Ovis aries: one gene and its partner. The protein of the gene in region 1 binds, or shares a complex with, the protein of each later gene. Links are inferred from orthologs where the notes say so. Each region holds a gene or a part of one and is shown on either strand. Other genes may lie near its edges.

The links.
Region 2: SATB1 (region 1) and HOXB2 share a complex: the UniProt entries of both Homo sapiens proteins name them as parts of the nuclear protein complex. The link is inferred for Ovis aries from reciprocal best matches to the Homo sapiens genes SATB1 and HOXB2.

What each region holds. Positions count from the first base shown.
Region 1 is NC_056054.1:276,534,117-276,537,923, reverse strand, and holds part of SATB1 (DNA-binding protein SATB1), read left to right. Parts: intron 1-963; coding exon 964-1,140; intron 1,141-1,902; coding exon 1,903-2,029; intron 2,030-2,789; coding exon 2,790-2,913; intron 2,914-3,807. UniProt on the Homo sapiens protein: Crucial silencing factor contributing to the initiation of X inactivation mediated by Xist RNA that occurs during embryogenesis and in lymphoma.
Region 2 is NC_056064.1:37,675,400-37,680,006, reverse strand, and holds the start of HOXB2 (homeobox protein Hox-B2), read right to left. Parts: upstream 2,996-4,607; 5' UTR 1,093-2,995; coding exon 711-1,092; intron 1-710. UniProt on the Homo sapiens protein: Sequence-specific transcription factor which is part of a developmental regulatory system that provides cells with specific positional identities on the anterior-posterior axis.

The DNA of each region.
Region 1 (3,807 bases):
CCCTTTTCCGTTTATCACTGGAAGTCTGACAGTGCGCTGTGTAAACACCTCGAGGACGACAGCGTTCCGTGATTTCTGTTTCTAGAAGCCTCTTTGCTGACAGTGGTGTGGTGTGGCCTGTGTTTATTAACCATCTGGCTCCTGAGTTATTACCTGGGATTACAGTGAACAGAGAGCACATCTCGTCTCTGCAGATTCCTGTAGCTTGAGACACCCTGATGAGGACGGTTTCCTTTGCTCTCATCCTTACCCCATTTGCTAGAGCAGAGATGGTTCGTTTTAAAGACCTGTGGTTACCGTGATGTCCTTTTAGGCAGGTTAAATGAGTAGCCATCAAAGTGAGTATTAGTCATCTGCAGTGTGCACGTGTTGAAATCCTGTGTTTATGAACTTCAGTTGGGTTAAGTTGTGTTTCTTCTGTGGCCTCAACGTGAAGATCTTAAAGAACGAGGCGAATGCTCGTAATTTTATAATCAAAGCTAATTTGTTTGGACACAGACAGGGAAAGTTGAATCCTAACAAAAGCATGTAGGAAGCATGAAGATGGGTTCTTTCGAAGCTGAGCTGAGTGAGTTACATTTGCACACCAGGTACCACTCACAGCAGATCAGACCAGACTCTTACTCCTCTCCTGTCAGCCTTATGATTTGATCAGAAAGGTAATTCTGCATTAATTGGTTTGGGGAAATGCTCTGTTAAAATTAGAGCCCAGTTACCTCAGGGCCGAGTTCATATTCTATTTCAACATTTCTCTTGCAACTTAAAAAATAAGAATAAAAGAAGGTGTGTGTTTGTGTCTGTGTGCCCGGGTCTCTGTGCCAGTCTTGCATTCTCTCGTGGTGGTGAAGATTTATTTTCATGGTTTCATTTTTTTTCCCTCCCTGCCCGCCCCCGCCCCCCCCCCCAGACTGTGTTGCTGAAATTCGTTGGTTTGCGTCTCTTTTTCCTCCGTCTCCTTGATAGGAACCATGCTCCCGGTTTTCTGCGTGGTAGAACATTATGAAAATGCCATTGAATACGATTGCAAGGAGGAGCATGCAGAATTTGTGTTGGTGAGGAAGGACATGCTTTTCAACCAGCTGATAGAAATGGCCTTGCTGTCTCTGGGTTATTCACATAGCTCTGCTGCCCAGGCCAAAGGTAAATAATGCATCCACGGGGTTGGGGGAATTGCTTGGCATCCTTTGTTTACCTTGCAGAGAAAGCATCTGAATATTTTCATTCAAAGAACTGTAGCCTGTGTGTTACATGGGTTCCTTCTAGACTGTGGCTTTAAAAAATCGGCTTAATTCGGTTTGGTTTAGTTAACACGCATTTTGCTCATGTGGAATGTGGAGGTAGGTTTTTTTTTTTTAAATTACTTCAGCTGAATCATTAGTAAGCTTATTGACCTTAATAATCTGCTCCACTGAGGACCCACAAGGAAGTGAGGAGCGTATCTGAGCAGATGGACTGTTGAGAGTCAATTTGCATTTATGACTGAATATCTAGTTCTGTTTCTTTTATTCTGTTTCTGATGGTTTTATGGGCTGTAAAGTATTTTTCAATGCTGATTCCCATTGCAATCGAGAATCTTATCTAAATCGTAAAGCCATTTAGAACTGGTTCAGCTATGTCTTATTAGAACTTCCTGTAAGTTAGGAAAATGTGGCCTCTGCCTAGGTTTTATTGATGGGGTTTTATTTCCAAAATAATAAACAGCCCCACCGTCATTTACATAATTTCACAGTTTGGAAAACTGAGCTGAGCATATTTTCACTGACCTGCCTTTTGGAGGGAAGGGAATCATTCAGACAGAAGTAACAGTATTGCTTGTGGTGGGGGCAGTGAAAAGCAGGCTGGCAGTGGGTAGGTTATCTGAAGGGCCAGACCTGAGTGACACACGCTCTTTATCTGGAACAGGGCTGATCCAGGTCGGGAAGTGGAACCCAGTCCCCCTGTCTTACGTGACAGATGCCCCCGACGCTACGGTAGCAGATATGCTTCAGGATGTGTATCATGTGGTCACATTGAAAATTCAGCTACACAGGTGAGTCAGGAAAGCAGTTCCAGCGCAGAACGTTCTACTCACCTGATCGTTTGAAACAAAGTATCTCTGGCCAGCCTTCAGCTGTGACTCGCCCTGCATTTCAGAGAGGCTAACCCCAATCGATTTTGCCACCTCCCCCCTTTCTCCTTTATCTTCCTAATCTGAGCCCATCGTTTAGAAGCAGTGTTCCCCCCAAATGCATCTACTTGTGCAGGTTATCAAAAGACAAGACTTTTTCTGTGTAATCAATTAAATGATGCATTGCGAGAAGGCATTTTACATAAAGTTTACTTAAGAGAAAAATATTTTTGCATATCATGAACAGTGCCATCTGTGTACACTTTGTGAAAGAATGCCTTATTCACTATTGCCGAGCTCTTATTTATTTATATGATTTTTTTTAACCGTCTTAATTCGTACGAGCGGAGTCCTGAAGGGAAAACGGTTCCCACGTTCGTGTTTTCACGATGGCTCTTGAGAAAGCAGTACACCTTAAATTGTCTTCCCAAGCGCATCCGAGCAGGAAGGTAGAAGTAACATGGAAAAATAGCCACCACAGGCAGCTGATGTATAATTCATGCATCGATACAGCAGATGTGTTGTATAAAGTAATTAACTAATCGGAACAATCAGGAGACCGAGAGCAATCTCCAGATGCATCTGTTTGATGCGCAAAATGAAATCTGTCTGTCTTAAAGGAATGTTCTGCAGCGGGATGCAATCTTGTCATAATCCCCTTTCTACTCTGTGTCTCCAACAGTTGCCCCAAACTGGAAGACCTGCCCCCCGAGCAGTGGTCGCACACCACCGTGAGGAATGCGCTGAAAGACTTGCTGAAGGACATGAATCAGAGCTCCTTGGCGAAGGAGTGCCCCCTCTCACAGGTACTGGGCGTCGCTGGCACTAAATGACAAGCCATTGAGGGCAGCCTCGTTGGAGGAGTCGTGGGAAGCCATAGTCTAAAGCAGCTGGTATCGGAAGCAAGAATCTCCCCAAAATGCAAAGTGACTTGACCACCGGTGACTTTCAGAAGTGTGTGCGATTCATCCTGACAGTGTGGGAAAGAAAGGGGAGGGAAAGCCGCTCAGCAGAACTTTGCGCTAGCTCACGTGTAGATCCCTGCTCTGAGTGTTCTGAGATTGGACGCTTTGTTGTCCTGAGGGCCCGTATTTGAGGGAATAAGGGTGGTGTACCTTCCTGGAACCCCTAGATGCCAGGAAGCACCTTGGAAGTGTTACTTTGCAGAACGTCACCATGCTACCTGAATAAAGAAACAGAATAGCTTCTAGGTGCTTTCTTCATTACCACACAAAGGAAAAAGAAGAAGAAGAAATAGAATTTAGAAAAAAAATTACACAGAAAACAAATCTCTTCTCTCTAATTAAAGGTTAGATAGTTATTATTCATCAGGATTCTGTCACCAGTTTTATCCATTGGTTCAACCTCCCGCCCCCACTGTTTTTCTTTTCTTTAGTGGGGTCATACGTTTTCCTCTGAGATGCCTGTCATACTGTCAGGGGTTTCTGAAATGAGACGGAGATTTATGATTATCGTATTTGAATTTTTAGGATGAATTTTGTTGGAGGGGCGATAACTCTGGTGAGAGACTGCCTCAGTTTCTAGCTGTAAAGCTGAGCATCACTTCTGATGCCGTGCAGTTGATTTTAAAAGAAAAGGGCACTCTGAGCCTGCCCTTCGAGCTTGTGTGGTCCTGACGTTGCTGTGCCTTCATGCCGCCTCTCTCCGGGGGCCTCGCCTCTGAAGCTCACGCCACCGGA
Region 2 (4,607 bases), on another chromosome or scaffold:
TCAACTCGGCTGAAATAAAAGACTATCCCATCCTCCCAAAGCAATGTCTGCGGCACCCCCGACCTGCCCGCCTACCAAAGCGGCTCGCTCCCACGGCTCTTGCCTTCTTTCTCGTCCCTCTCTCTCCGCCAGACCCGGCCAGAGTCAGCGCACAGCATTCAGAGAGCCGCCCACGGACCATGCAGGGGTTAGGGAGCGGCTCCCTTTCGCCCCCAGAACCTCAGAGCCCCTCCCAGGTCCTCCAAGTGGATCCCTCATTTCAGCACTTTCTAACTCAGCCTGGGGAGAGGATTCATAAAGAAAGATTGTTCCTCACCTCTTCTCCTCCCTAGCCCCCAGCTCTCAAATCCCCCCACTTCTCCTAGAGCTAGAGTAGATGGGATTGAATCTCTTCCTGCCTCCAGATTCGACCCCATCCAACAACACTCCTCCACACAGCTAAATGTGAAACCTCAATAGAATCCTTTTCTCCTAGCAGAAAAAGATGCTCTTCCCCAACCAGCTTCCAAAATCTGCTGTAGGGAAAGGAAAAAAAAATGCTGGCAGCGGCCAGGCCTGAACCACAACGATCTTTTCTGCTTTCTCGTCCCTGGAATCGACAGGGGCAAGAAACCCCAACAGGCTCGACACCTTTTTCTACCTCCCCCATCGCTCCTTCTCCCCCTTTTTTTCTAGCTGCCCCTCACCCAACCCCTATCACGCTTACCGACCTGCCGGCGATCCGACCCCGGAGGCCGGGACGGAGGAGGCGGCCGGGGGAGATGCGGCGGATTGGCTGGGTTTCTTGGCGGATTTCTTCTCTTTCATCCAGGGGAACTCGGGGGCCAGGGGGGCGGCGGGGAGCGGCGGCAGCGGCGGCAGAGCGGGCCCATCTTCGGCTCGCTTTTGGCTCCCGGGTCTCTGAAGGGTGGAGGCGCCGGGCTGGAGGCTGGGGAAGGTTTGCTCGAAAGGAGGAGGAGGAGGAATTAATGTCGACTCCTTGATTGATGAAGTTTGAAATGTCTCCAAGACAGCGGGGAAGGAAGTCAGACACTCGGCGAGCGATGGCTGGCTGTTTATAAACCCAATCTCCCTCTCAAATTCAAAATTCATGGCTTTCAATGGTGGGGGAGGGGGCCTGCTGGGGGGGCGTCAGGAGGGAGGATCGGAAGGGACCCCCCCTCCTGCCCCCCCCAGGTTTGTGTGATGCAGCGATTTTGGGAGGGGAAGATTTTGTTCTCTCTCTCTCTCTTTTTTTTTTTTTTTTAAATTTTGGGTCTTTATAATTGTATATTGCTGATAAATACAAGCGTATGGGGACTCTCTCTATTAAACCCAGGACTCCAGCGAAATTGCAGGGAATTCATGGTCACGGGACCCGCCTTGGCCAATCACTCGTCTGGGCCTGGTAGAAAACAGAGCATTATTTGCTTTAATTGATTCAAAAACTCTAGAGGACCATGACCTGGACACCATGAGCCCCCCAGTCCTACATGCCTGCTCCCCATGCCCCGCTTTCTCCAGAAAAGCTGAAGGAACCTTTTCTTCATCCCCATCAGAGGAGGGGAGGTTCTGGAACCCAGGAAACAAGAGAACCTAAGGGAGAAGTCTTCCTCTTTTTCAAATACTTTTAATACAGTAAAGCTTTCTTTATAAGGCCAGCAGCATTCCCTGCCCCCACCCCCGGGGAAAAAAAAAGCTGAGTGAGGATCTCAATATGGGAGGAAGAGGTAGTAGAAAGAGGTTTTCCCCTTTGGGAAAGGTCTGTGTTACAGTGCAATAAGGAAGAGAAGAGATTTACAATCATCAGCATCACTATCCCCAACCCACCCCCCAAAAGCAACAGATAAATCTTAGAAAATCGACAAGCACTCCTAGGCTGACACAGAGGAGTGAGATAGACAGTGAGGAGCCCTTTTGGGCCTCTGGCCTGTGGAGCTGTGAAGTCTCGGTTCCCTTCTCTGCCCAGCATTTGCAGCACTGCCCCTGCCCCTGTGTCTACCTGCCTCCTCACCTGGAGGCATCGGGCTCCTCTATGACACCCCAGCAAACAGGGTTGAAGATGCATATGCACCCTCTCAAGCCTCAAGCCTGTATCTGCATCTATATCCAGGAACAGGAACAAGAATCAAGAACCAAGGTAGCTCCCAATTTGACTTAAAGAACTCTCAAACTTCAGGCCAATGTATTGGAAGGGGGTACTCCCCCCTACAGGAATGCCCTTGCCATTTTCCTCATTGTATGTATGTATAAATAAATACCCCCAACAAGATAGAATTCTCTGTGGAGGGGGTGCAAAAATAATGATCAAAGATGATATCTCATTTCTAGCCCCTGGGGAAATTGTTGTTTTTATTTCTTTTCAGAAGTTCAAGATAGTATGAACTTTAGGGAGTGCTGTAATTTACTGGAGGGAATGGGTACAAGACTCACAGCCCCAAGCAATCGGTGGGAAACTAGATCTCAAAGCAGAAAATGAAATGTCGATCTGGGGTAAGATTTTTAAATAAGTGGGTCAGAGGGACCGAGAGGAGATGAGGCGATCAATCTTAGCCCCCTGACAGCTCCCTCCGATGGCATCAAAGAATTTGGCTCTTTGGGAAAGCAGAGGGAACAGCCGAAATTCCCCATCCCTTTAAAAGGCCTGGAGGTGGGGGGTGTTAGCGAAAGAGAAAGGTGATTCTGGGAGAGCAGGGAAACAGATGGGAAATGGGGACAGAGGAAAGGCGCTGGGTTGGGTGGAAAGTTTTTCTGGAGAACTCCCACGGCTCCGGCCTCCCCTCCCCCTCCTTGCTCGGCAGCGAGCAAGGAGAAGGCTGGTTAGCAGAGAAATGGCAACTCGGCCGGGAGCTGGAACTAGAAACTTTGTGTCAGTGTAACAGCCGCGTGGGTGGTGGTAAGTATTCATCCGTGTGGGTTGGGGGTGAGTGTTTAAAAAGGATAGAGGAATCTGAGGAGAAGGGTGGGGGTGGAGGAGAGCCAGGAGGAAAAGGGGGGAGCTGGACGTGGGGGCTGCAGGGACGGGGGCGGCAGGCTCTGGAGGGCTCAGATCCAAGGGAGCTGCTCTGAAAAACTGGGCAAACTAGCCAGAGACGGTTGTGTCCAGCTCGGCTCCAAAGAGTAATTTTTGCCACTTGGAGGTGAGGACGGGGGTGGAAGTGGGGAGTAGGCACAGAAGAGTAGTTGTCTGCAGGTTGTGCAGGAGGCCTAAGAGGGGTCTCCCTCCGGCCACCCCCTTGAGAAGCCCTGGAAGTTTTTTCACAGCCTCTCCAGCTGGCTGCAGGGTTGAGCGATTCTCTCCGCAACAACTCCGGCTGTCCCTGCAGGAAATACGGCTCTCTCTAACCCTGCTGACAGATTTTACGGCCAGATTAGAGAACAGCAGAAAACTTGGGTGTTAAAAGGGGCCAAGAGAACCTTCCTTCCCAGAGTCGCCGCTTCCCCGCCCCCCTGTTGTGCTGTGAATCTTACTGTACAGATACTTTCCCCTCGACTTTGGCTGCTTAGCTAGGGGCTGAAATCTCTAAGAGAGAAGGGAGGAGGACACCAAGCCAAGGTGGCCCTTATTTTTCTTGATTGCAATTCCAATTTCAAGCCAAAGCTCTGTTTTTCAAACTCAAGTTAAACTTTCTGACTTGGCCTGCCCCTCTCCTACTAGATAAAAAATCAGTCCAGTCTACATCTAGAGCCAAACAAGGCGCTTCATCTAGTTAACACCATTCAGAAAATGTTATTCAGGGAAGAGGAAGAGAGAGAGAAAGAAAGAAAAACCCATGAACGTTATTTGATCCCAATCAAACTTTGTACGCTCTTATGCCTTTAAATTATAGCTTGACCCAGTGCTAAATTGCTTGCTGCTTGGATGAGCCTAGTCCAGTTAAAATCCTACTTGGTGGTGGTGTGGGGGGTGGGGTGAAGAATTCAGGTTGCTTTTTTATTGTTATTTATTGTTGCATAAAGGCTATAATTACTAACCTTGGACTGCCAGGATACAACATAAAAATGAAAATCAGCCCTGGCTTTAAGGCTGAGGGCCTGGAATGATTCTCACCAACACGCCCCCCACCCCCACCATCTCTACCACCAAATATATGCTCCTAATTAAGCAATGCTAGAACATCGCTTACAATTAGAATTATGCAACTCTTCAGCAAGCAGCCATCGCTTCTCTTTCAACGAATTAGCTCCATATTTCAGCTTCCCTGTCTCCTAGCTCTTATCGGCTCCAGCGATGCGGCGGTGACATTTCATCTTTGACAGACCCTCTCTATCCTCGCTCCAATGTGATAAAACTTTTATGGAACCACGACTAAGAAATGAAGTTTTCCCAAGGATCGTGGAAACAGAGCGGCACATTAGCCTGGGGACCATTTTATGTATGCTTGGATCCATAGCTTCTCCCACCCTCCTCCTCTCCCCTTACCCTGGCGGGGGAAATCAAACAGGCCTCCTCTCCCTCTGTCCTGAGTTTTATTTAGTGATTTAATTTCACTTTAGTTTTAAGGTTTGACCTGAGAAGTCTAGGCTTCAGAATTTTTTTTTAAGATTAATCATTTTCCTTTGTTTTCATTTTAGACCCAATGGTGGTTGGGCTTCGGGTCACGTGACGACTTCTTTGTAGCTCCGGA